4 linked regions of the Mytilus edulis genome follow. The protein of the gene in region 2 binds, or shares a complex with, the protein of the main gene of each other region. Links are inferred from orthologs where the notes say so. Each region holds a gene or a part of one and is shown on either strand. Other genes may lie near its edges.

The links.
Region 1: trafficking protein particle complex subunit 11-like (region 2) and trafficking protein particle complex subunit 8-like share a complex: the UniProt entries of both Homo sapiens proteins name them as parts of the multisubunit TRAPP (transport protein particle) complex. The link is inferred for Mytilus edulis from reciprocal best matches to the Homo sapiens genes TRAPPC11 and TRAPPC8.
Region 3: trafficking protein particle complex subunit 11-like (region 2) and trafficking protein particle complex subunit 9-like share a complex: the UniProt entries of both Homo sapiens proteins name them as parts of the multisubunit TRAPP (transport protein particle) complex. The link is inferred for Mytilus edulis from reciprocal best matches to the Homo sapiens genes TRAPPC11 and TRAPPC9.
Region 4: trafficking protein particle complex subunit 11-like (region 2) and trafficking protein particle complex subunit 12-like share a complex: the UniProt entries of both Homo sapiens proteins name them as parts of the multisubunit TRAPP (transport protein particle) complex. The link is inferred for Mytilus edulis from reciprocal best matches to the Homo sapiens genes TRAPPC11 and TRAPPC12.

What each region holds. Positions count from the first base shown.
Region 1 is NC_092348.1:42,862,565-42,870,247, reverse strand, and holds the start of trafficking protein particle complex subunit 8-like, read right to left. Parts: upstream 3,027-7,683; 5' UTR 2,917-3,026; coding exon 2,760-2,916; intron 1-2,759. UniProt on the Homo sapiens protein: Plays a role in endoplasmic reticulum to Golgi apparatus trafficking at a very early stage. Maintains together with TBC1D14 the cycling pool of ATG9 required for initiation of autophagy. Involved in collagen secretion.
Region 2 is NC_092349.1:48,629,498-48,637,265, reverse strand, and holds the start of trafficking protein particle complex subunit 11-like, read right to left. Parts: upstream 3,013-7,768; 5' UTR 2,902-3,012; intron 1-2,901. UniProt on the Homo sapiens protein: Involved in endoplasmic reticulum to Golgi apparatus trafficking at a very early stage.
Region 3 is NC_092355.1:34,285,948-34,293,106, forward strand, and holds the start of trafficking protein particle complex subunit 9-like, read left to right. Parts: upstream 1-4,149; 5' UTR 4,150-4,267; exon of another isoform or gene 4,268-4,284; intron 4,285-7,159. Other genes in the region: uncharacterized protein, read right to left, coding at 23-650, 1,444-1,555. UniProt on the Homo sapiens protein: Functions as an activator of NF-kappa-B through increased phosphorylation of the IKK complex. May function in neuronal cells differentiation. May play a role in vesicular transport from endoplasmic reticulum to Golgi.
Region 4 is NC_092344.1:109,874,794-109,881,896, forward strand, and holds the start of trafficking protein particle complex subunit 12-like, read right to left. Parts: upstream 3,028-7,103; 5' UTR 2,935-3,027; intron 774-2,934; 5' UTR 763-773; coding exon 555-762; intron 1-554. Other genes in the region: EARP and GARP complex-interacting protein 1-like, read left to right, coding at 3,228-3,269, 4,492-4,575, 5,151-5,283, 5,978-6,122, 6,528-6,627, 6,992-7,103. UniProt on the Homo sapiens protein: Component of the TRAPP complex, which is involved in endoplasmic reticulum to Golgi apparatus trafficking at a very early stage.

The sequences.
Region 1 (7,683 bases), on a different chromosome or scaffold from region 2:
AACTTATTCTGAAGTTTTTATATCATTTATTTGACCTACAGATTTTTTTTAATAGTCTTATAATTTAAAAAATGTTTTTAAGAAAGATCTTTAACTAAATAGATTGATATAGACTACCATGCTACTAGTAGAGTAAGGTTTATTTTATTACACCTGAATAAAACAACTCTTCAGTTTTGTTCAAAATTTTAATTATAACAGATTTTGTTTTGCTTTAAATAAATGATGCAAATGACACAGAATTGTATTATGAATTATTATTCCTATAATGGTATTTTATGGAAATTTGCAGTGTGAAAAGTTACCTACAGTCTAAAGTGCTTACAACCTGCAATATGTCCTTCTCAATATTAATCTTGTAAATAGAACTTCATTGTCATACAAATACTTCAAATCTTATCATTTTGAAATTTATTAGTCTACATTGAGGTAAACAATAATTATAGTAAAAGTAAGGAATGCCTTAAAACACCAATTTTGTATACAAACACTAGTTATACATTTTTGAATATACATTTCTCTCATTGTTATTTCATTTGCATGAGGACAGTCGATTTGAAAATGTGTGTGATTACGATGATTGCCGTTATAGTTATTACTGATTTCTAATCACCTAACAGTGACCTCAAAGGAATTTACAAAAGAATGACTGGACAATGCATTGATGAGTGTATCCTAAAACACCTATGTATAGATGGACTGGTTTATTATGAGCGAACTGGATAAACTCGGCCCAGTCAAGTGAAATAAATTGAGTAATATATTTGGGTCATTCCACTAATTTTTTTCCCTTTTGTTTCAAAAATTCACTATATTGAATAAAAGTTAGTAGATATTTGAAGTGTACATAAGTCCTAATGATTGAATAAACATGAAGCATTCGTTATCAGTAGAAATAAATTTAATGATATTTTGACAATTAACAATTTGAAGGTTTTAAATGTAATCAAAATTTCCAGTTAAGATTCTACTATCAAAGTATTCAAGCCCAATAATGTCAGGAAGAATTGCCATAGAATGCACAAGTATTTCACAAGGAGAGTGTTGCAATCTTTCACTCAGTTTAATTGAGGTCTGGAGCTGGCATGTCAGGAACTGCTAGTAGCCCTTTGTTTATATATACATCATTATCATTTTTTTATAGTTTCTTTTGTTACCTATTCTAACATCAGACTGAGACTTCATGGGCTAGAGGTAAAGGGGAAGGGTTGAGGTCTCACAAAACATGTATTACCCCACCACATTTTTTAACCATTCCCAAGTCAGGAGCCTCCGGCCTTTGTTAGTCTTGTATGTTTTTTTAATGTTTTTTAAATTTTTGCCCATTTATATAGTTTGGAGTTAAATGTCACTTCTATTTTTACTGAACTTGTACTCAATTTTAAGGGGCCAGATGAAGACCATCTCCGGGTGCAGGATTTTCATGCTGCATTGCAGACCCATTGGTGGCCTTCGGCTGTTGTCTGCTCTTTGGTCAGGTTGTGGTCTCTTTGATATATTCCCTATTTCCATTTTCAATTTTACTTAATTCCTTCATTATTAGCATTATGCTACATATAATTCAAAACCCATTATAATCAAAAATTAGAACAGGGCATATTCTGTTTCATAGACAATAAATTTCCAGCCAATTCCCTTCTTCTTCTACCACTAAGTTAGTCCAAATAATTATGACGTCTTGAAAGGCTATTATAATAATTTTTTTCTTTGACGCCTTAGTGCGACGTCATAACGCCAAACTCATATTTTCCGTTGGACTTTAAGAGGGAACTTACTGCTTTATTAAAACGTTTAGCTGATTTCTCCTCAAGATGCTTCATTTTAGGAGTATAAAACATATTTTTGAACCAAACTCGGTACATTTTGACGGACCTGAATTTCCAGATAATGTTTAACAAAGGTTCCAGAAATTCGGGTCTGAGTTTGGTGTAAAAATTATTTTATAATCTCATAAAAAGAAATCAGAAAAACGTTTTAAAAAATGCAGTCGACATGTTCCCGCCTCAGATGGAACTGTTACTTATATTATTATTTTTGAAGGGATTAATTTGAAATATTTTGCACTAACAGTAACAAACACATAAAAGGTAAGAATCTTTATGTATGCAATTTTTTTTAGCTTTCAATGAAAATTTGCTGGCTCAATTGGGTCTCAAAGTTGAGAGCAAAATATGCTTTCAAAGTCCAACCGAAAATGGCGGCTTCAGCATTGAGGTCGAAGTTAGGCGTCAAAGAAAAAAATTATAATAGCCTTTCAAGACGTCATAATTATTTGGACTACCACTAAGTAACCATCATCATTAGGTTCAATTTACTGTCAATACAGTACATTTATTCAAGTAGCTGCAACTTGACAAAGTATTGGGTTAAGTATCCAACAGATAAACTGTATACCCTTCCAACTACTTCTCATCTTTGGATTTAATAATTATAAGGGCAGTCAGTTTGACAAGTGATGTATGTGTGTCACTTTCAGTTTTGAAAATTGATTTAAAATATAACGGGTAAGAAAGATACATAAAGCGTGCAGTGTGATAATTCCTTTTGCAGCTGCAGTTGTCATTGACCAACTTTTAACAGAAAAGTAATGTCATGCTGTTTTGATATTGCAAAATAATAAACATAGGGACTAAGTATGACATAAGGTCCGCCCCCTTTTACTGATTATGCTCAAGAACTTATCTAAATGAAACGGAATCATTCTTCAGAGTTAAGACAAAGCATATATAAGTGTGGTTAATATACTAAAGAAGATTCACCTTCTGACGTTAACCGGCAAAAAGGTTGAACAAGTTCCACAAATGTCAAATTATTTTTCTGACATAGGACTTCCGCATCACGGCTGCATAACACAGCAACATGTGGATTAAACGTGTTCTGCACAAACTCTTGTGCATTCTGTTTGCACTGTGCCATTATTTCTATATATTTAAGAAGTTACAAGGCTGTTATTGATCGATGAGTCGTCGTTTTTTGCTCATGACGATCTGGATTTCATCTGCCATATTTACGATCATGCGCATTATAATCTTGAAAAGGGGAGGTAAATACATTACCTATTACCGAGCTTGCAATGCAATCAATTCATAAAATTCGTCTGTATTGCTTTGATCATTGAAATTTATTAAAATACAGACACTTTGTTCAAGCAAAGTCTGACTATTCTTCTACACTTTCTGCTGTTTAAAAGCCTTTTGACTCCTTTGATCTTGTCGCAATGAAACACATCTTCAATAGTTTTAAGCCTGGTATTTTTAATATGCTGATGTTTATAATATTCAGAACAGAGTTCAGAAGTGAGTGTTGTCAGATCCTTGTATTCAAAGCATGATCATGGGATCTTTTTTTAATATATCAGATTGTGATCACTGTAATATTTGTCTGAATTGATAATTGTAATATTTGTCTGCATTGATCATTGTAATATTTGTCTGCATTGATCATTGTAATATTTGTCTGCATTGATCATTGTAATATATGTCTGCATTGATCACTGTAATATTTGTCTGCATTGATCACTTTAATATTTGTCTGCATTGATCATTGTAATATTTGCATTGATCATTGTAATATGTACTGTGTCTGCATTGATCATTGTAATATTTGTCTGCATTGATCATTGTAATATTTGTCTGCATTGATCATTGTAATATTTGTCTGCATTGATCATTGTAATATTTGTCTGCATTGATCATTGTAATATTTGTCTGCATTGATCATTGTAATATTTGTCTGCATTGATCATTGTAATATTTGTCTGCATTGATCATTGTAATATTTGTCTGCATTGGTCATTGTAATATTTGTCTGCATTGGTCATTGTAATATCTGTCTGCATTGATCATTGTAATATCTGTCTGCATTGGTCATTGTAATATTTGTCTGCATTGATCATTGTAATATTTGTCTGCATTGGTCATTGTAATATTTGTCTGCATTGATCATTGTAATATTTGTCTGCATTGATCATTGTAATATTTGTCTGCATTGATCATTGTAATATTTGTCTGCATTGGTCATTGTAATATCTGTCTGCATTGATCATTGTAATATTTGTCTGCATTGGTCATTGTAATATCTGTCTGCATTGATCATTGTAATATTTGTCTGCATTGATCATTGTAATATATGTCTGCATTGATCACTGTAATATTTGTCTGCATTGATCACTTTAATATTTGTCTGCATTGATCACTGTAATATTTGTCTGCATTGATCATTGTAATATTTGCATTGATCATTGTAATATTTGCATTGATCATTTTAATATGTACTGTGTCTGCATTGATCATTGTAATATTTGTCTGCATTGATCATTGTAATATTTGTCTGCATTGATCATTGTAATATATGTCTGCATTGATCACTGTAATATTTGTCTGCATTGATCGCTTTAATATTTGTCTGCATTGATCACTGTAATATTTGTCTGCATTGATCATTGTAATATTTGCATTGATCATTGTAATATGTACTGTGTCTGCATTGATCATTGTAATATTTGTCTGCATTGATCATTGTAATATTTGTCTGCATTGGTCATTGTAATATTTGTCTGCATTGATCATTGTAATATTTGTCTGCATTGATCATTTGTAATATTTGTCTGCATTGATCATTGTAATATTTGTCTGCATTGATCATTGTAATATTTGTCTGCATTGATCATTTGTAATATTTGTCTGCATTGGTCATTGTAATATTTGTCTGCATTGATCACTCTACCTTGATCATTGTAATAGTTGTGTGCATTGGTCATTGTAAATTACCGGTAGACTTGAATCTTGATAATTTTATTAAAAAAAACCTATTTTTTATGATCATGCTGGATGACTGTTTAATGTAAATTGAAAATAAAATGTCCTTTATCCTATTATTCTTATTAAAATGCTTAACTTCATCCCAGTTTGCACTTTGTATGCCTTAATTGATCCATGAAAGTTCTATGAAATGATGATAACATAAAAGTTTAATTTAGAAGATATGTATATCACAATTTAGATTTCCAAAATTCTGACAGATCCCCCACTTTCCTCAATAAGAGCAAGGACTTATATTAGATAGTTATATGTCATTGTTAGTTATACATCCTTGGTCAGAGTTATTGTTTATATGTCAGTTTTGGTTTCTGTTGCTATGTGAGTTACAATGGAATCATTGGAAGAAACATCATCTTCCTGATAAATATAAACTGGTATAGAACTAAGAAGAGGTTTGGGTCAAATTGATATTAAAGTAAAATGTACTTAATACACCCTCTAGTTTGCAAATGTTGAATAAATGTATTATTTATTAAATGTTGTAGTTTTGTTTAAAAATGTAAACCAATTCCTTGTCTTGTACAGCTAAAAATTACTAGTAAATGAAATTTAACCAAAATGGTGAAATTATACAAACGTTCTTAAATTAGCCTATTTTTACTAAAATTATAAAACTCTGCTGTAGAATGTCCCATTTATGAAATCAGAGACAAATTGTGTCATCAAAGCTTGAGTTTTTCTCATTGTTGAAAGCTGTATTGATGCATATAATTGCTCAGTTACTTCATCTGGGATTCGATAAATAGTTTTCCCGTGGATGATCATACCACATCTCTATGTTTTTATATTGACAAATATTTCAATTTTCTTAACTTGATTGTTTGATTGTTGATGTTTTAACGCCATTCTTTAGGGCCTCTGTGGGGCTATTTGGTTGCGGCCAGTTTTTATTAGTAGATTAAGCCGGAGTGCCTTGAGAAAACCACTGACCTTCAATAGTAAAACTGATAATCCTTGTCAATTAAGATTGGAGTCAAAATTACTTGCACAAGAAGGTTCTAAGTCACAACCTCAACGTTGACTGGTTGAGTGATTACAGAAGTAGAACTTGACATAGTTCAAGTTGAACTATTAATAATGATTGTACAGTATTTTTATTTTATTTTTTTAAACTTACATGGCCATATAAATATACCTTGTCCTTCTCAAGTAGTTTAAACAAAAATGACTTAACGATTTTAGCAGAAGATTCATATATACTAACTCTGTACAATGACTATAGTCATATGAACCAACAACTGATTAATATTCATGAAACAAACATTCTTATGTAAAAAAAAATAATTTAAATCTCGCATTATAATTGAGCAATTTTCCGTATCCAGAATCCATCAAAAAAGCTTCATAAAAAACAGTTGTAAGTATGGAAACATTGTGGTCTCTCTCACTATAAAGAGAGAGATTGCTTACTTCTAGAAATAGACATCCTAACTTCTGGACAAATTTTCTGTCACTGTCAGGAACTAACTGCTTGTTGATGAATTGATTGCTTTTTTGGTGTTGTAACACATCTTACAGCATTATACAATATCTCATAGCTGCCAGTTTGTAAATGAAATTTATCATCATATGTGGTATTAATTGAGCAACTGCCTCAGCAATAGCATGATTTACATTATTAAATTAGATTTTTACTTTTTAGGTTTAAAATTTAATTTAGATTTTTACTTTTTTCAATTACATTGTTTTCTAAAACTATGGTTGCATCTCAATTAAGCAAATTTGACCCAAAACCAGCGAGATGCATGCCACTGTCTACATTTCTGTGACATTTAATTTTATTGTAAAAAACTCCAAGTAATTGACATAAACCAGTAATCTTTGGTGACTTGCTTAACTTCATCACATTCTGTTAAATAAAGTGATCCTTTATCCTTTTCCAATGACTGGAGTCAAAAAGAACAACTCACATTTTATCAGGAAATCAAATTTTATTTATTTTTTAAATAAATATAAGAGATCATAATAAAACTATGACTACTGCTTATTAAAAACAAATGGTTGACATGCTTAATAAAATGGTTCAAATATGACAAACATTATTGCACTTTAATTAAAACTAAATGCCTAATGTGATATTTTCGACATCTATGTTATCTGAAAACGTAAACAATTACTGTTTACATTTCAACTCATTTGTTAGGCATGAATTGAACAAAGCTTTTAAAAAGCATATCTTAGATGACAGTTTGACAGTCCTACTTAGTATGAGTTTATGGGTTATATTGCTTATCAGCAATCCACCCATAAAATTTTATACATGTACATGTATCTGAAATGTTTTCTTAACTAGAGGCTCTAAAGAGCCTGTGTCGCTCACCTTGGTCTATGTGCATATTAAACAAAGGACACAAATGGATTCATGACAAAATTGTATTTTGGTGATGGTGATGTGTTTGAAGTTCTTACTTTACTGAACATTCTTGCTTCTTACAATTATATCTATAATGAACTTTGCCCATTAGTAACAGAGAAAAAAAAATTGACTATAAAGGGCAATAACTCCTTAAGGGGTCAATTGACCATTTAGGTCATGTGGACTTATTTGTAGATCTTACTTTGATGAACATTATCGCTGTTTACAGTTTACCTCTATCTATAATAATATTCAAGATAATAACCAAAAACAGCAAAATTTCCTCAAAATGACCAATTCAGGGGCAGCAACCCAACAACGGGTTGACTGATTCATCTGAAAATTTCAGGGCAGATAGATCTTGACCTGATAAACATATTTACCCCATGTCAGATTTCCTCTAAATGCTTTGGTTTTTGAGTTATAAGCCAAAAACTGCATGTTCTATTTTTAGCCGTGGCGGCCATCTTGGTTGGTTGACCGGGTCACGCCACACATTTTTCAAAC
Region 2 (7,768 bases):
TCATTATAAATATCTTTGAATCTACTTTCAACATTTTTTACCTTCAGTATGACTTGTGTAAATTTATACCTCAAATTATTATTTCTTTGATAAATTGCAAGCTATCATTGCATGAGGCGAATGTCATTCTGATGTTTTAGATATACATATCCTCTGCTTTGAAAGCAGGTATTGGTGGCCCTCGGCTGTTGTCAGCTCTATGGTCGGATTGTTGTCTCTTTCACGCATTACCTATTTCCATTCTCAATTTTATTTGTAGAGAAATCTATCCTGGCTATCAGCTTAAAAATACCTGATCCCGACGTCCCAAAAAGGTCCTGCCCCTCTTAAAATGATCACAAAGTAAGGAATACAGGAGAGGTGTTTAATGAGGGTCTTAGGATAGTCAAAAATTTATTCTCATTTTTTATCTTATCAACTTTCATTTTCCTGCTAAATCTTTGTAGGTTGCCGGATTATTATGAGTTGTCAAGACTAACCCTGCAATGTATATATTGATTTTAAGCAATGGTGCACCATTTCAACCTTGAACGTTATCATAACCGATACAGTGACACCTTCAATAGATATAGGAAGATGCGGTGTTAGTGCCAATGAGACAACTCTCCATCCAAACAACAATTTAAAAAAGTAAATCATTATAGGTCAATGTACAGCATTCAACACGGAGCCTTGGCTCACACCGAACAACAAGTTATAAAGGGCCCCAAAATTACTAGTGTAAAACCATTCAAACGGGAAAACCAACGGTCTAATCTATATAAAAAAACGAGAAACAAGAAACAAAACAAACGACAACTACTGTACATTAGATTCCTGACTTAGGACAGGTGCAAACATTTACACATATTGAGGTTAATAACATCTGTTGCAATAATGGAAGCATATTTTTAGTTTTCAAATTTGTACAAGTTAAAACCATTTTTAAGCAATATTTTGTACAGGTTATAACATGTACGAGGTATTTTTGTACATGTTATAACTTGTATTTTTCCATTATACAAGTTATAACATGTACAATACTTTCGTACATGTTATAACCTGTACAAAATCACAACTTGTACACGACATATATATAAATGTCGATCTGATGTGGAAAATTGTGGTTTTTTTTAATAGCACAAAGAAAAAGACGTTAGAAGAGTAACAATGTATAACTATAAACGAATTACTTGTTTATAATCTACGAGACTGATCAGATCGAAGTTAGATAAAAAAAAAAAAAAAAAAAAAAAAAAAAGCATTCAATATCAAACCTTCTTGGTTGGAGAAAACATGTTCAATGTATACCTGCAAATATGTCTTAATAAATTATATTGTGTATTTAAATTATCTCCATTGAATACAATACAATTTATTAAATGTATCTATGATATCCTCCATAAATAAATATCTGTACAGGTAAAGTTATATTCGGATCAACAGATTGATTTACGACCTTCCGCTTGTCCATGTTGTATTGCAAAAATATCACAGCAGGTGTTACTCACACTAGACAAGTGTCAAATCAGTATGACATTATGTCGGATTACGGCATCTGCAGTAATCAAGACTCTGTTTTTACTGTTTTTACAGGAACTGATTTATCTTAACATGACAATAAAGAAGAATTTTGTAAGGTGAACATATTTGTAGTATTGCAAAGTTACCACGTGCATTTTCCTGTTCATTGGTCACATTTAAATAGATTATTCTTTATTGAACTAAATTCGATATTTAAATTGCAAGTAACTTTAATATCAAAACCACCGCTTTTTATTTCTCCACTGAAAAGGGTAATAAGACGGTTATCTTTATCTGACTGTAAACAGTGTATATAATCACAACGATCTATTAATAACCGTTGCTCACAGATAACGGATTATACAACGATCTATTAATAACCGCCGCTCACGCATCACTGGTTCTATCACTGACTCAATACACACCAGTTTAATCGGACAAACGGATAATTCCCTGAGACACGCGGATAATTCCCTGAGACACGGAAAATCTCCGGAGAACCGCAAAATATACTATAAAACGAAAAATTTACGATGAACCTCTACTTATTATCCGTTCCGCGGAGATTTGCCAAAAATCGCGGTCATTTGCCAAATAGGTCTACCAGTGGTATATTTCATTTTCAATCAGTGTGCATTTAATTTGCAAGGTTTATTATATTTTATTATTAAACTTATAAATACAATTCGAAAATATTATTTGTCATACCCTTAATTATCACCCTTCACTCGTTCTACTCGAAATCCCCATATTATCGATAATTTCTGTATATATTTCACGTTTAATTCCCGATTTGATTGCATTTTATTATAAAACCGGATGTGGGTACGCGTAGCCTACGAATGTCAATTTGACTATTCGTACCCACATGCGGGTACGCGCAGACACTGCCTAATTTTAACATTAAATAAAAATGGCTGAACAGGTAAGTTTAATTTATTTAGTTCTTATGTCTTAAAAAGCGACTTTGAATATGTCAAACATTTGTCAGGTTGTAAACGTAGTATTACTGTTGTTCCAAATATAAAAACAGAAAAAACACACAACAATGTATGCGTGTGCAGTCGAAACAAACGAAATGTGGTTGATACGAAAACATATGTCGGTTAAAAGCGCATTAGAGCTTATGTTTGTCTATGTTTTATATACCATGCCGACTCTAAATAAAGCTTATTTATTTATTTATTTATATGACATGACGATATATATCATAAGCATAGTGGTGTATGAACAGATGAAGACAGTAATTTGTAAAAAAAAATATGCATCTTTCAGGAGCAGATATGCAGATTATTTACCACACTAAACTGGACTGAGTATATATAATACGATCATCTATTTTAAATAAATTATTGGTGATCGATTTTTTGTGATATTATCGTAATGCATTAAACCTACGCTTGTTTTCCTTAACATCAAAGGTTGTTTTTTTCAAGGAATGAGTGTCGTCTTCTCCGGAAACGTCTGATCGATGTTAATTGAAGATCTATAACGGTGAAATATGTAATTCCGGATTAGTTGCTTCTTTCTTCAAATAAACTCATCATAGATACCAGGAATATAAAATTTTATATTTACGCCAGACGCGCGTTTCGTCTACAAAAGACTCATCAGTGACACTCGAATCAAAAATGTTATAAAAGGCCAAATAAAGTACGAAGTTGAAGAGATTTGAGGACCATCAATTCTCAAACGTTTTGCCAAATACAGCTAAGGTAATCTATTCCTGAGGTGGAAAAGCCTTAGTTTTTCCAAAATTCAAAGTTTTGTTAACATTTAATTTATAATTATAAACATATCAATGATAACTCAAGTCAACACAGAAGTGCTGACTACTGGGCTGGTGATACACTCGAGGAAATAAATCTCCACCAGCCGAGTGGCATCGACCAAGTGGCCGGGTTGCAAATAAACTCATCATAGATACCAGGAATACAATTCTATATTTCGCCAGACGCGCGATTCGTCTACAAAAGACTCATCAGTGACGCTCGAATTATTTTTTTTTATAAAAGGCTAAATAAAGTACGAAGTTGAAGAGATTTGAGGACCAAAAATTCCTGAAAAGTTTTGCCAAATACAGCTAAGGTAATTAATCTATTCCTGAGTGATCCTTCATTTATTAGAGATTGTTCGCTGGTCATCGGCTATATGATTGAAATTTGATAATTTACAAGGTAACCAGGAAAATAGAAACAAAATCAAAATAATTTATGTACAGTTGAAAAATAACGTAATAATATATAAAAACTATACATACATTTCACCGATAAAAATAATAGTTCATGAAGAAAAATGGGATGAGAGCAGATACTGAGATCATACTCTTGAATCCCTGTTACGTGTACTATACTGCATGCGAGAATTTGTTGTTATTAATGATTCCAATCTATAATTGTAAGTGAATAAAAGGAATATTTATAACTATCTTTAGATCACGGTTTGTATTTGCCCGAATCTAGAACATATATCATATCTATAGATTCACATTGATTCAACTTACTGTAGAAACTGGACGATACTTCCAGAAATGAGCGTATTTGTACTATGTGTGATAAGAAAGTAATCGAAGTTATATTAGAGTGTGATAAGTATGTAAATGTCAGAAGTAAATATATTAAGTCATATTGTTATAGAAAACCAAATTAGTTCAAATACTATCTGCAAGACATTCTAAGGAATTAAATAATCTGGGTAAATACCTTTATTAGACGGAAAGAATTCGTAACACTTGATTGTTTGTTATGTACCTTTATTACCAATTATGTAAATTGTATGTCAAACTCCTCTATATGTTAGAAATAGTTTATGACATTAATGCTGTACATATGTATATGTAAACTGTATACTTTGTGTATCTGTTCAATCCTATGAGCCGACTCGGGCAAAATAGTCTCTTAGGGGCTATTTTACTGACTCCGGCAAAATAGTCTCCTTGGCGCTATTTTGCCGGCTCCGGCAAAATGGTGATTTACATAGAATTTTGCTATTTTGCCGGTCTTAATTAAGTTTTTAATAGAAGTGTAGCAGTTAAGAATAGAAAAAATATAGAAACATACACTTTAATAAGGAATGTCTACAGTATACCAAAATGTCTTCTTTAAAAAATTATTTAAATTGATATTCTTTACTTTTAGAATAACTAGTCAGTCTCTTAACTTGTGTATTTTATAAATATTTAAAAAGAAAAACATAAATATCAAAATTGATACTAGTAAGTTTTTCTTTGATAGGTAGACTAAAATATATTTCTTAAAAAAAACACCATAATATATACACATAAGAAAAGCATACAAACCCATAAAAAAAATCGATATTCTGATTAAAACTTAAAAAAAAAATTTATTTTAGTTTTGAAACAAAAAGTAACACCCAGCAACTTCAAACTGATGGACGAGCGTTACAAAACCAGTGCCTTGCCTTTTTTGGATTTATTTTTTAGTCTAGCACTAGAAAGGTGCTGCTGCTGCAGACACGAACTGAACACAACACTTGTTTCTTTTGCGTCTGCATCACTTTTGCAGACTGAAATGCAGATATATATATAGACTATATACATTTTAGTATTTAGCATTCATAAAACTCATAAAATAAATGCTGTCAATAGCTAGATTTCTATGCATTGTTTGTACAATATTTTGCCATTTTGTATTAATCTTAAACGTTTTGTCTGGTTTCCATGATTGTTGTAGTCCTCGTTTCACGTTTTCTCAGTTACACATAGTTGTCGTTTTCAAAGTGCTCCAAAACCTGCTATCTGTCGAAAATCAAGTTTGGTTTATAACATCATATTTTTGTTTTCTATTTTGAACGTTTTACTGAGAGTTATTTATGGATCGTTGAAGTTTCGTTTAAATGTGATACTATACACAACAAGGTGCCTTTTCAGTCACCTCCCAGACCCAAGAAACTAACCTCCACTTTTGAGGCTTCATGTGGTCTGCCTGTAGATGATAATAAATCTCATAGTAGTTTTCCACAGTCTAATCATATGTCCAACTCTTTGCAGATCATTAGTGATGGGATTGTGTCTAATGAGTCCCAATTTTCCCAGGTTAGTGGTTTCGGTCTGGCCTCATTCTCTGAGCAGTTCCGCTTTAAGGATTATGAAATTTTTGACTCTACTTTGGGCAAACTAGTACCCAAATGTGACAAAGTGTTATCATCTACTATTTCTTCTAAACCCGCCGATGGACTGCGTCTTACTCAGTCTGTTTGGTCTAAAACAGAGAATCTTCTTAGAAACGCTTCTCATGTTCTAGGCACTGCTGAACATTTCTTATCAGCAGTTGCCCCAGTTCTTAAAGACTCTTCTCTTCCACCAGAGGTCAAACCTTTCCTATTACAGGTAGACAAGGCTTTGGGTGCCTCCCAATTGCTGATTATGGGTTCCATCGCCAACTGCACCTAATCCAAAAGATCTGAAATTTTGGAGAAGGCAAAGGTGTCAGATAATCTTAAGGATGCTTTAATCAAGTCTCCTTTGGATGAGAAGATATTTGGGTTACCACTTGATGAGGTACAGAAACATCTCAATCAAACTCCAGTCCCAGTGAAGGTAAATGTATCTGTTTCGGGAAATAATTCTAAGCGAGGTAGTTATTCTTCTGCTGGAGGCTCATCTTATAATTCTCAGGAGAAGAGGAGAAAAATCACTAATGATGGAGGTAATAAACCTAAGAAATCTTCAATCCCTAGGTCTAAACCTAACAGTTTTAAGAGAGGTGGCAAGAGGGCCAACCCCTCTTCCTAGGAAGTTGCCCCCTCGTTCGTTACTGTCAGAACCCAATCCAGAGATGTACTACAAAACTCCTCTTTCTCAATTACCAGTAGGGGGGAGGTTAACTCATTTTCTAAAAAAATGGATAAGTATTACCTCAGATTGTTGGGTTCTGTCAGTAATTCGAGGGGGATTGACTCTTCAATTCAAAGAACAACTACCTCTTTCACCTGTTCCTATCCCACTGTCCAATACTCAAGATCCACAGAAATTTCTTCTTCTGTAAACAGAAGTAGAGACTCTTTTGACAAAGAGGGCAGTGGAGGAAGTCCCTGTATCTTCAATAGATCCAGGTTTCTATTCTCGTCTCTTCCTTGTATCGAAGAAGACCGGAGGAATGAGACCGGTCATCGATTTGTCTATCCTCAACTCTTATATGATTATTCCCCATTTCAAAATGGAGACCAATCGTTCAATAAGAGCTTCTATTCTTCCAGGTATGTGGACAACATCCCTGGACCTGACGGACGCTTATTTTCATGTCCCAGTTTGCCATTCATACCGCAAATTCCTTCGGTTTGTTTGGAACAAAAGGGTTTACCAGTTCAGGGCTCTCCCTTTTGGTCTGTCAACTGCACCACTAGCTTTCACCAAACTTATGCAGGTAGCAATTGCTCAACTTCATTCACAGGCTATTCAGATTCATTCTTATCTGGACGACTCACTGATCAAGGAACTTTCTCCCGAGAAACTCTATCTCAATACAGATGTAGTCATCAGATTGCTGCTCTCTCTGGGGTTTCTCATTTCTTGGAAAAAGTCGGACCTCATTCCGTCTCAGGACTTTATTTTCCTAGGCGAACATTACCTTACTCATCAGTGCATAGTTCGACCTCCTCAGGAAAAGTTTCAGAATCTTTGTTCAAAAATTCATCTGTTTCTATCTCAAAAAACAGTCACTGCTCGCCAGTTTTCACAACTGCTAGGTCTTTTGAATTCTCTAGCCGATGTTGTTCCACTTGGTCGCCTTCACATTCGACCTCTTCAATGTTATCTACACCAACATTGGCTCTCAGCTACACAGAATTGGGAGTTTCCAGTTCCAATCATTCATCAGGAATTGTGTCCTTATTTGGTTTGGTGGACTTCTCAAGCAAACGTTTTGAGAGGCCAACTTCTGTCCTCTCCAGTCCCAAATCAGACTCTGTTCACAGATGCCTCCAACCTCGGTTGGGGAGCTTATCTGGAAGGTCTTTCAGTGTCAGGAGTGTGGACTCCAGATCTTTTGAAGGAACACATCAACATACTAGAAATGAAGGCAGTGCTTCTTGCCCTGTCTCATTTTCAGTCCCGACTGCAGAACAAATCTCTGGTTCTAGCAACGGACAACACCACTGTGGTGGCTTATTTGCGAAACCAAGGGGGAACTCATTGTTACGAGCTGTATCTTTTAGCAAGAGAAATCCTTCTTCTTTGCAATCAACTTCATCTACAGATTGTAGTTCGTCATGTCCCAGGGAAACTCAATGTGTTAGCAGATGCTCT
Region 3 (7,159 bases), on a different chromosome or scaffold from region 2:
ATATATATTGCAAAAGACTTACACTTCTGATTCATTTTTTGACAAAACATATATGATATGAGGCTGAGATTCCATTTCTGATCCTTCACCTTGCATGGATATGAGTTTTTCAAGGTCAACCTCAGTAACAGAATCTGTTGGTATGGTGATGACCTGTCCAAGGTCATCTTCATTTTTAACTGCATATTCAAAATGTCCAGAGCCATTCGTAGTTGCATATTCTGTTGGCATGGTGATGACCTGTTGATGTTCACTTTCAGTTAAAGAGGTATATTCTGTTGGTATGGTGATGACATGCCCTTCATTCCCATCCATATATTGCAACATATCCATAGGAATTGTTATGACTTGTGTACCAATGTCATCAATGTCTGCAGGCAAAATAACCTTATGTTTAAGGTCATTGTCTGTTATTGCCATGGCAACAGTATTTTCATTGCCATCAATTGTGTTTTCTGTTGGCAAAGCGATCACATGTTCTTTAATATCTCCATCTGTTGTTGCTATGACAACAGCATCTTCAGGAATAGAATTAACATCTACATCAGACATAATGGAAATGTTTGACTGTTCACAAGACTTTACAGGTAAAATATTATGCTGTGTTTCTCCAGAAATTAAATAAGTTACATGTGTTTCCCGACCTATTCCTACAAAAAAAGACAGTCATCAGTTTTGTTCAAATTGATTATCATTATTAACTCGTCCTAGATACCAAGATTGAAATTTTTCACGCCAGAAGCATGTTCATCTCAGCAATGCTCTAAAAAAAGAAATTTAAAAATGCAGATATTTAGTAACAAGTTATAAAAGCATTGAAAGCCCAAATTTATTTATTGTCAAGATAAACTGTGTAAGTTAGTCATTATATTCAGCTGCTCTATGTCAATGATGGCTGCATTTTTGAACGAGAAAATCTAACAGGGACATGGGAGAGGGAGTGAATTATTTGAGTTATTGTAAACATGGTAAGAGTTAAAATTTCAAAAGATTTCAATTTTATGAATGTATAAACGTTTACAAAATTATGTTGTCATTGTTTATCATCTGTCTCTCAGTGTGTATAGCAAGAAAATATATGCAAATTAAGGTGGTACCTAACACTACAGGGAGATAACTCTATAAAGTCAGCTTAACGTTTTAATTACGTTGTGTTGTAAAGGGAATATTAAGCTTCTCAATGATCAAAATTGGTGTATGTCAAACTGCTATATAACCAGTGTAATTTTTCTGACAAAACGGTTGGTTCAAAATCTTTGAAATTTTTATATTTTTGTTAAAGGGTCAAAGTAAATACATTTGTACTTTGACAAAATTTTATGAAAATTAAACATGTCAAATCAATTTTAGTGAAAGTGTTGGGTACCACCTTAAGAAAAAGGAATGTGTTTGAGGACTCGTCCTACTAACACAATAAAAAGTAACCATGGTAACTATCTTTACCAGAATGGAGATTTTCTGTTGTGGAATTACTATCGTCACCATTAATACTGTTCATAATATTTGAGCTGTCCATAGTGAAATTAACTATTAAATGATTCTCATTTCCATCCATTCTAAAAAATAAATTAGAAACATTATACAATCATGACAATAGCTACAAAAATAAGGATAGAAATATGGCGTTATGTCATAAATTTGCTTCATTAGAGTGCAATTTGTGATTTAAAAGTTATCAGTAATGTCTAGATGTCCAATACATGTAATATTTAAACAAATTAATTGATTGTGCCACAAAACTTTCCAAGTCAGAAGCCTGTTATTCAGTGGTTGTTGTTTGTTACCATACATGTTTATCATATATATATTTATTTTTGTTTGAAGTTTTTTTGGTTTTGTACGTAAATCAGGCTTTTGTTGTTTTTCTCATTTCAATTGTTTTCCGTTTTGTTATGTCATGTATGTGAAATTTAAAAAAAAAGATGTGATATATTGCCAATGAGACAACTCTACGCAAGAGACCAGATGACACAGAAATTAACAACTACATGTATAGGTCACCTTTTGAAACCTGCAAATTAGTATGGGTTTGACTTATCATTAATGACTATATATTCACTGACCTACAGTACATGTACATGTGTACCTTATATCTACTCATTTGTTTTCTGGTCATGCTGCCAGGTGGATAGAGGTCTCATTGGCAATCATACGAGGATTCATACATCTCCTTAGTCTATGTTTTGAAAACTTTCAGGTTTAAATTTCAAAATACTGTAATGTCGATGTTGATTGTCTTTGTTTATTCAACATGTTTTAAAAACAAGCTTGGACGCTTAAGACATAGTAGGAAGGTGTCACAGCAAGAAAGACAAACAGCTGAAGGACGCTTCCGGGTGCGGGAATTTCTCGCTGCATTGAAGACCTGTTGGTGACTTTCTGCTGTTGTCTGTTCTATGGTCGGGTTGTTGTCTCTTTGACACATTCCCCTTTTCCATTCTGAATTTATTTGAAGGCGTCATAGCAAGGTGGGTTGTAATAAAGGAACCTTGATGAAGAAGGGTACCTTTGCAATTCATGAAAAATATCGGTAAAAAATCTTACCAAAGGATGTTAACCATGTCAACGGTAATATTTAGTGCATTTTGCTAAAATATACATTTTCTACTTGACATGCTTGATAACAAAAATCAACTGATTTTGACAAATCACAATCAAATAATTATTTGAGACCTCTGACCTGGGATCAGTATATCTAAGGGAAATGATTCTGATCATGCATAAAGGCTTTTCAGTATAAAATTAATAAAGTACCGAGCTACATGAAACTTTACTAGATTAATAGATTTTTGAAGCATCACACTGCAAAAGCATTGAGATTGCTCAATAAATTATCCATATTAAAACAAACTCAACAAATATAAATTTTATTCTAATCATTCTAATGTAGGTATATTTTGTCATACATGTATAAAATTACCAATATACATGTGATTTCTTTGATGTAAAGTGCCATCAGCGCCATTTTATTATTACCCTTTTTGCATTTTGTACTCTTCTGTGATGAAATTAATGTGAATTATGACAATTTTGATGTGACAGAATGCAATTTAGGTGCACTGGCATTTAATGAAATCAGTAGTAATTAGTCAATGCGAGAACATATTTTACAGATGTCGGTTTCTGTATGGTGTTATTGATTAACTATGACTTGTTAATGAAATCGGCTAATATTAGGTAACTACATGTAGTGTCAAGTCTCTTCAATATACAATGTATATGTTCCTGCTCCGACAAATAGCGATATAATGGATATTTTGATATATCACTTTATTTATTTTTTTACCAATTTGACACTAGCGTAAGATGAGAATGACTGTTTAACTCTGACATCAATAAAATTGAGAATGGAAATGGGGAATGTGTCAAAGAGACAACAACCCGACCAAATAAAAAACAACAGCAGAGGGTCACCAACAGGTCTTCAATGTAGTGAGAAATTCCGGCACCCGGAGGCGTCCTTCAGCTGGCCCCTAAACAAATATATACTAGTCCAGTGATAATGAACGCCATACTAATTTCCAAATTGTACACAAGATTGTACACAAATTGTACACATTTCAAGAATGTATCACAGCAAAAAATTAAATTGGCCTTTTTTATTTTAGTTAAATTTCGGGGTACTTGGGTAAGGTTGTTTTATACCTACAGGAACCGTAGCTCTCATGTCCTTATATTTTTTTTTCTCTATTTGTGGACTATCCGCAAAATAAAAAAAGATATATAGAAAGGACCATAAAACTATTAAAAGATACGGTTCCGCAGCTAGATGGTTTTACTGACACATTTAGGTTTTAAGGTATGAAGGTTTAAAAATCGCTTTATGTACAAATAAGTTTTAGGACTGTTGCTGGTGTTTTGTAGTGGTAAGTATATTTAGAGTCATTGTCATATTGATTAGATAAAGGGGTACATGATCTCAGGTGCTCCGGAAGGGTAGGAAAATCGTGCTCCTAATTTGGCACACGTACGACTGATCTATCTGGGTAAAACATTTCAAGAAAATTCATTTCCTGAAAACAACTTTGGTGGGAATAAATGTTTTTTTTTAGTCATTGTGAATGTGAGCAAAATGCATATATGGCCATACTTTGTATCAGAGAAAAAATAAACAGAGAAAATTGTCACCGGAAGTACTGTCAAAATAGTAAACCCCGGACACGTTACGGAAAATGGCTGTCTCACGAGAGGAGGCGAGACTTTGAGTTTGATCCTGATATTTTGCAGAAATGAAACGTAGCTGACGACAATTCTTAATATGTTCCATGTATGTCAGTTGATAAAGTAATGATGACTCACTTAGTTGAGTTTTGAACTTGTAGAATAATCAGATAAAACCCCTGTTCGTCTGACAAAATCAGACATATCAAATGAGACATTTGTCAAATTTTATAGGTGGAAATCAAACAAATTTAAGTTATTATTAATTTCACTTTGATGTATATATAGATCTGCTTAACAACCTTTATACCTATACCTGCGCTATATCTTTATGAATATACCTGCTCCATGATCCTTCTGATTATACCTGCTCCGTGTATTTATGAACATACCTGCCCCGTATCTTTATGAAATGCATATGGGTCTCATTGGGGTCTAAGCGTGACACGGTATTGCCGATATTTTGTAAGCATGACTCGCGAAAGTCAAATTATTGTGTGTGAAAACTGGAAATGAAGTTTAGCGGGACAAGGGAAATTGCAAAAAAAATGAGAATTGCTTACGTACATAGTGTAAGTGGGATACAGGAATCTGACAAAACAGTAAGTGGGATCCGGGATCAGAACCCCCCAATGAGACCCCCCTATGAATATACCATGTGAACCTGCTCTGTATTTTTCTGTTTACTCTTTGCCTATGTATATAACTGTTCTGTATCTTTATAAACATACCTGCTCCAGTCCATATCTTTATGATTATAACTGCTCCATATCTTTATGCAGATACCTGCTATGTATCTATGAATAAACCTGCTCCATATCTTTATGAATGAACCTGCTCTGTATCTTTATGAATACTCATATACCTATACCTATGTATGTAACTGCTCAGTATCTTTATTAATATACCTGTTCCGTTTCATTATCATGCATATATCTGCTGACCTCAGATGTGGTACCTTTCATAAATCTACAAGTTTAACGCAGGTCTGTGTAAATACAAGTTGTTCTTTGAGTAATTAACTTTTCAAAACACTAGTTTATATAGCAAATGTATAGCATGTATAGATAGGGGATTAATAAAGGAATCCAAAGAGCAAAAAAAATACATAGGTCACCGTGCTTGTTTTCAAAATATAAGCCATTGAAATTTTGGCGGGAAAATATTCTCTCTTGACTTTTCATAGCTTTATCATTGACAAGTTGAAGTTCTCAAAAATTGTTAAAAAGTAATTAAAATTTTATAAGAATTTAACAGATGGCTTATCATTATCAATGATTATACATGTAAAAGATTTACAAAAAGAAAAATGGGGGTCACCTGGCAAATTTTTTCAAGGCATTCAAATGGATAAAACCAGAGGATTCTGAAAATCTGACAAAAAATCTAAAACATGACAAGCCAGCTTCCTTAATATTGATAGGATGCAATCCTTTATTCTGTTTTCCATTAAGATCATACCTGCCAACTGTCACTATTTGCATTGGATTTCTCCGATGAAAGCTCCCAAATAGATATTTTAAAAGAGCAATTTTGTCCAAAATTTTAAACAAAACAGTTAATTTTACAATGCTTTAAAAAGTATGAATAAGCCAAAAAACAACAATAAGATACATGTACATTTGAAGATCCCCTTGAAGTTTTTTTAAGACGGTAAGAGCCATCTTGCACGTAAAACACCCATGAACATTTTGAAAAGTTGGCAGGTACATAAAATTGAGAATGGAAATGGGGTATATTCATAAAGATACATGTATGTATACATGATGTAAGATCTTTCCTTTAACAAACGAATTCAGAGGGGATTTTGGGGTAAACATATATATATTGTATTGCGCAAGGAGAAAATTGTTAAAGATAATTTATAAAATGAGGACCTGTCTGTACGTATTAGCCTATGGATCAGTTTTGAAAAAGAGGTGAATGTGCAAAGGGGAGGTGGCACACATATTTTGAGTTACAAAAATGAGTTAGTTGTTCAGAGGTGATACCACTCTGATGCATTCTCAGTGATATCATGGATAGAGGTCAGACTCTTTTCCAACAGATCAGGCCAAATAAAAATATATGTGTGGTTCCAGTGACCCTACCCTCCCTACTTTTTCGTCTTGAAATTAGCCTACATGTACCCGAAAGATTTTATTGTCATTTTTCATTAAGCACTGTTAAAGTCAGAATGATGCTTCCATAGACTCAATGTAAAAAAAAACACCATAAAATAAAAATAATCCCTACCTACCTACATGACCTACCCTAACTTTTTTTCAGATGTAACTGGAACCACACATACTATTTTATTTGGCCTCATCATTTAAAATTATGAAATTTGGTATGATTGCCATGAATAAAACATGTAAAACATTACCATCCTCCAGTGTTCAAATGATTTATATGTTAATAATAATAGGTCACTGTTTGACAACATGATCAAGCTATAAAGAGGAACAGAGATGACAAAATTTTGAAAAATCAAGTTATGAAAACAACTGCCTGATTTGTGGTAAAAATACTAAATTAAAGAAAACACATTAAATATATATAAATAACAGTTCTTAGGATATAAAACTCCAAATTCAAATTAAGACATAAATTGACCAATCAAATAACTTAAGAATTTCAGTGGTCATGCACAAAAATTATTATACATGTCAAGTTATCTAAGGACAGAAGAAAGATACAATGTAAGGGGAGATAATTCCGACTTTTTAATGTAAGAAAAATAGGCAAATATTATTAGAAATATAACCCCTGACCATGCTGACTGTATGGTATAGAACAATTATTGATTCAAAAGGGACTATCAATTTACCAAGAAATGGCTAAATTTTTTTTAAATTCCTTGTTTATAATTATTACAAATTGTGCTAGTTTATCTCGGTCAATTTATCATCAACATGATTTACATGATTTGTGTGCATGGTCTAAAGTATAATCATGATTCAATGTGTAAAAGCAGTATGAGAAAAAATTGTAGTATCCAATCCCTGCCTCATCAAAA
Region 4 (7,103 bases), on a different chromosome or scaffold from region 2:
CAGTAAAATAAAACATTAAAGACAGAACCTGATAGTCTTCATCAATTCATATTCACCAATCCATAGAAAATGTGCCTTACCTTGTAACAATGTATTAAGATGAATCAACTGTATATTTCCACAAGATTTGAATACAATTCAAGGCTGTGAAAGGTTAAAATTAAGTTAACATACATGTACATGTATGCATAATGTTACTTTGTTTAATAGTCATTTTGTTTTAAAGTGACATGAAATGAGGACACTTTTCAGGTTCATGTAAATTTAACAAGTTTGTCAAATACTTGTCTTGGTAAGATAAATGTTTATTTCATTATTTAAAGTTCACAACATGTACAATATATAATGCGAATTGGAAGTTAAATCTTGTAGTTAACTTGTAGTCAAGTTGTCTTTTAAGACTCTTTTTCTAGTATTGATTGATTGATTGTTCTTTGCTATACGCTGCATTAGCACAAAAAGGCTATATCGCGGCGAGAGCTTATTCAAATATTTTTTCTATTTTTTTCTAGTATTAAATCTCAACTCATTTTAAAATTACTATTCAATATAACCTTTAACTAAATCTGGTATGGCCGTAATAATATCTTGAACATCTTCCTCAACTGCTGTTGGTTCTAGATAAACAGAATCTAAAGTATCTGTTGTAGCAGAGTGTCTAAGAGTTGTCCCCCTTATAACTACATCAGGATTCTGGAGGTGGAATTCTTTTTCTGATAAAGATTCATCTTCTAAAAATTCTTCAACATTATCATCAGCCATTATCTACTTTACTGAAATGAATGTTTTGTGTTTAAATAATTACATGTAATATATTATTCAAATGTGTGTGTCATGATCAATAATGTAGAATTTACAAAAAATGTAGATGTTCAGCTAAACAATTTAAACTTTTGTAATGTTAATGAGCTCACTGACAGATTAGAACTAAATAGTTAAAATATCTTAAGAAATTGTACCGCTGCAATACAAAATGTGTAAAAATAAATTGATAAATTGATAAATATTGATAAATATCGTCATTAAAGCACAAAACTCTAAATAAGAGTTCACTTACCATTTCAACATTAAAGGGGCACTAGCTGTCAAATTCATGTTCACCGATTTTAATCAAATTCTCATGTTTAATTTATAACAATGTAAAACATTTATACAAAATATCAAAAGTCTAAAATAAACAATTAACAGGGCACCGCATGAAAATATGTAGCTTCATTTCGTGTGTATTTTAGTCTAAACGCCATCTAATTAATTGTCGAGTTGACCCCTAAAGTCATCCGTCCCGATGACCATATAAGCAATGTAAACATAAATATAGATATAAATAAATTAAGCAAACTCCTGCTATTCGGATTATTCTAGATCTATTTAATTTTATATTATACAATATACAAATTACATTCCATTAATGATTGAGCATAAGATATAATACATTTGATTTTTTATCAATCTCGTAGCTAGTGCCCCTTTAAGGAAAAACTCAACAAAAAATGTAAAATTGTTATTAATGGGCAATTTCTTAAAGAGTCGCCAGATGATTTCCTTGCTAAAAACCTTCTTGTAGATCTTGTTTTGCTCATCAAGTTTGCTTTATGAATAAATTTCCATCTTTCTATTATCATTTTTAACTTATTAGGCAAAAATGAGTAAAGATAATTATTAAATGACAAAAAAATCAATAAGGAGTCTTCAGACGATATCGACAAGATGTTTCGAGATATTTGAGATTTAAAATATGGCGGGAAAAGGCTGACTCAGACTTTTACCTTATATTTGCATTGGTATTATTTGGGTCTCAAAACAAAAGAAAGAAAATTAAGAATCTTCTAAAATGTTGGTAAATGACCTTTCATGAGCTATTAAGTCTTATATGAAAAAATAAATGGGTGTTATGGGGCAAAATATTTTACATTGTATTGTATGGAAAAACACCAAGGAGTCTGAACATTTGACAAAAATCCAAAACCTCACCTAAGTACATCCTTAATATTGATTTACTTATAGGGTCTTTGCATCGGAACTAAAGTAAACACATTTATTTTTAAAAAACAGTTGTTGGCATGACACGGGTTATGTTCTTCTCATATATTTCATGATAGTATGATACTGCTAATAGTTTGTTGTTATTTATGTATTATTGTCATTTTATTTATTTTCTTTTGTTACATCTTCTGACATCCGACTCAGACTTCTCTTGAACTGAATTTTAATGTGTGTATTGTTATGCTTTTACTTTTCTACATTGGCTAGAGGTATAGGGGAGGGTTGAGATCTCATAAACATGTTTAACACCGCTGCAATTTTGCACCTGTCCCAAGTCAGGAGCCTCTGGCCTTTGTTAATCTTGTATGATTTTTAATCTTAGTTTCTTGTGTATAATTGGAGTTTAGTATGACGTCCATTATCACTGTACTAGTATACATATTTTTTTAAGGGGCCAGCTGAAAGACGCTTACGGGTGCGGGAGTTTCTCGCTACATTGAAGACCCATTGGTGGCCTTCGGCTGTTGTCTGCTCTATGGTGGGTCTCATTGGGGTCTAAGCGTGACGTGGAATTGCCGATTTTTTTGTAAACGTGACGTCACAGGGGAAAGTCAATTATTGTGCCATGAAAACTAGAATTAAGGTCTAGCGGGATACGGGAAATTAACAAAAAAATGAGAATCGCTTAGGTACATAGTATAAGCAGGATACGGGAATCTGACAAAACAGTAAGCGGGATCTGGGATCAGACAGCCCAAATGAGACCCCTCTATGGTCGGGTTGTCAGGTTGTCGCTTTGACATTCACCATTTTCCATTCTTACTATTTGTCATTATATAATTTCAGACTCCAATGTTAATGGGGTATGAAAGGATAAGCATACAGGACATTCTGTCATAGACGTTAGGGGCAAACAGTATATATAAAAGAAAAGGGTAAATTGAAATCAACCTGCTAATTTTTTCGACGAACGGACACTGTGCTGTGTATACGTCATCAAATTATGTGTAGAATGTCATAAAAAATAATTTCATGAATGGAATAAAAAAGAGTATTGAAACAGATTACATTGCCATCAAATACATTTTGTCTGGCATTAGCTACAGTTATTTGTTTTAAAATAATAATTAAATAATTTTATGTTTTACTTTTTACGACTGCCGAAAATTGACTTAGGCTACTGGTTTCCGTTTCCCCCCATCCCCTGTCCGACAGAAATAATTTTAGGGACCAGACACACAGATATGGACGACGAATCGCCGGTTATTTATGGGCTAGAATTTCAGGTTATCTCCGTTATATTTGATAAAAACTGTTAAAAAATGCTTTTCCTGGAAGATAACCATAATGTCAGCTTCTCATACTAATTGGTTTTGTAAGGCATCAATCGCTTTAGAACTCGTCCCAAATTAGTCCAAATAATAAATTATATGAATATGACATCTTGCAAGGCTATTATATTTTTTTCTTTCAAAGCAAAAAAGCCTTCCAAGACGTTATAAATATTTTGACTAGTCCCAAATATAAATTGGATAGTTGCCCGTCCAAAATGGATGCACTGCTTCTTTGCACCTGGAGCCGACTGACGTCCTTGAGTCTATATAAATCGGGTCTCAAGAATTTTTTTCATTTCTAATCCATGATTCATTTATGTAAGTTTCATCTACCTGCCATCCTTTATTTTTTCATAATATGAGGCAGGCATAACCTGTGAATGGGGACGAAAATGTTAAAATAAGAGATTTGACCCCGATTTCATGGTCCACTGTACATGTTCTATGGACACATTCTAGTTTGCATATGGATAGGACAATACACCTTATCGCTAATCCCGGCTGACCTGGCCGCTTGAACTTTTGACGCATACAACAATCACTTTTTAATTGTGGCATCAGCCATTTTGTTTTATGACGTCATAATTTTACAGGAACCTGTGTGATATCCAGTAATGGCGGACAAATAGCGATAAGGTGTATATAAGTTCATACATGCAAGTGCCCACAAAAAATTTATATATGCAATGATAGTTACAAATAGTATAAATATAACATTAAACAAATGGTATTCAAAGAATACAAAAAAAGTTAAAAACAAAAACTTTAGATCCAAACCACAAATCTAAGAAATAGAAAACAACTTGTAAATATATATTGCTATTAGCAAAGGCCATCAGCAGGTTTCAATGCCTGAATTCAGAGTTAGAGCACAGGTGTAAGAAGATTTTACAGGTAAGACAGTATTTTTTTAGCGGGAAGTAGAGAGCATGTTAGTAATAAGGTGTGCTTGATTTGGAGTTGTCATTCGTCAATGTAATATGATAATCAGTACAAATGATGAACATGACACATGAAATATGATATGAGTACATGTTTAACATGTAAAAGCTTAATAACAATATTAAACATAAAGAAATAGTGCATGCAGTCGCAGTGACACAATTATTATTTGTATAACTCTTCTATAAATTTAAGTTATTAATAGAATGATATTTTTTTTATCATTCAACAGGCCAAAGCATTAACTGCACAAACAGGAGAAACTGATAAGATCAGGTTTCTTGTTGGAACTCAGTCTTTACGAGTAGAAAATCAGGTAAATCAGCAGGAACAAAATTCTTCATTAAACATGAATCATTATTTAAATATCTTGACACATTGTATTATTATTGAAACCTTAATATACTGAATTGGGCAAAGAAATAATTTTGATAAGCATGATTATTTTTCACTACCTTTGTTCTATCCTATGTCTTTGTTTCATTTTCTATTGCTTACTTGGTCAAATATGATGAGATGCCTGATGGGTTCTGGTACACTTGAGGTTATAAAATCTGTGCTAATCAGTTAAAACTTAATAACACTATAAAAATAAGGAGATGTGGTATGATTGCCAATGAGACAACTATCCACCAAAGTTCAAATGAAGTGGATATCAGCAATTATAGAATGTATAGGCAACCATAAGGCCTTTAAAAATGAGACTTCTATTCTACATGTCTGTATAACAACAGATATGATACCTAAAGATTCTGTCAGTTTTATAATTATGCATAACCTCACTGGAAAACCTAATTTTCAGTATAACCTGATACATGTGTGAAGTCTAATTGAGTTTTGAATGATATCCCATCAGGAAAAAAATGATTCTGATGTTATTTTATTTTCCAGATTCATCACATTGATTTTGATGATGAAAACAACATCATTAACAAAAACATTTACCTACATCCTGAAGGAGAGATCTGGAATATTAAGGCCTCAACCATTGATAAAGACTTAATGACAACATGTTACAATAAAAGTAAATTTAAGTTAAGCTAAATATTTGGAATGGGTAAACCGTATTAAAGGGGCACATAACAAGCATCTAATCAAATTGACAAAGAACCTTAATCCCTGAAGTCATCAAAATAAAATAAAATGACTGTATATAATAAAAAAGTAAGTTGATTAGATTTTTTTTTTACCATCCTGCCTCTTATTTCAGATCTTGGACATGACTGGTATACATGTATCGCATAGAAACTAAAATTAAAAAAATACAAAATCACCATCAAGGACAACCTAGTCATCTGTTTCTTTATAAAATTACAGATAAATAAAGAGTTAACTAAATTGTATTTGAAATATTAGTAAACAATAACTAAGATGATGATTATACCTGTACATCATCATTCAATGGTATAAACACCTCAGTGAGTACTAAGTAGTAGAATTCTTGCTTTGAGTGTGGAAGGTCCTCAGTTCAATCCCAAGTCACAGCAAATCAAAGGCTTGAAAATTCATATTTGCTGCTTGTCTGATAAGTACACAGCAGTTAGCAGTAAGAGCAAATACTGGTTTGCTCAGAGTCAGAATATGTCTACGTAGGATAACACATCCTTTTACAGACTTGTGAACTAGTATGTTGAAAATTAAATTTAAAAGTTCTGTATGTCATTTTAGTATCAAGCAGTGTTTATATTCATAATACATTAATATGTTTTTATCTGCAGCATCAGAATCAAAGACAGAAATGAAGGCAGCTATTTGGAGACTACCATCTGATTTTGATAGTGGTCAAGCAGATGACCAGTCAGCACATCCAGCTGTGCGATTGGTCTGTCACCTGAATAACTCAGAATATGGTGACATGAAAAGGTCTGTTTATAATTTTGTGCATGTTTTAATCAGAGGTAAATCATGAATGTATTAAACCAGTCACAGAAAAGTTAGAAAAAAAGCATTATAAATAATATTCATGTTCAAACTCACAGATTGTGTGTGTCTGTCTAGCTCAATAAACTCATCATATATAGATACCAGGATTGGAATATCAAATGCACATTTTGTATTCCTCACGTTTAAATAATAACACAAAAAAAAGGCCTCACAAAGTTCCAAAAAAGCAGAGTAAACATTCAAATCACTTTAACATTTTCTTGTCCTGAATATATACATTTAAATTGCTTGTGAAATGTAAAAGAATCATCAGCCTCTTTTTCAAATGTTATATCTGAGCTGGTATTTACTTACATGAAATCAACAATATCCTACTTTTTACAGTGTTTTATGGCACCCAACCGGAGATACTTCAGCTGTGATAGGCTTTGCAGATAACCATATAGTATTGTGGGATATTGACACATCTTCAAGCACTGCAAAGGTACTTATTTCAACCCTTCTTTCAATTGTGGTAAAATAATCTGTCAGAACTTTTTTTTAAACAAAAACTAAACTGTGTTATCATCTGACATCATACATTAACAGCATAATCTAATATTTCTATATTTTGTCTTGCAACTGATATTTATTTTTCTTATGCAAAATCACACCAGGATCAGAATTACCTCCCTTTGTCTTGCTACTTGTAAAGTCTTTGGAATTTCCAATTTTACAGTTAATAAATTACATTTTTTAGTGATCTAAACTTTGCAAAAAAAAGCAAGTATGATTTAATTGTATAAAATGAACAATATTTTTTCATACCCTGAAAATGTGTAAGTATTGCATTCAAAATCTGTTAACAGATGACAGCTTCCACAGGATTAGATAGTAAAGGTAACTCCAAATTCACCTGTGGTCAATGGAATCCTCATCATAATTGTACACAGATAGCCACTGCAAATGACACACACATAC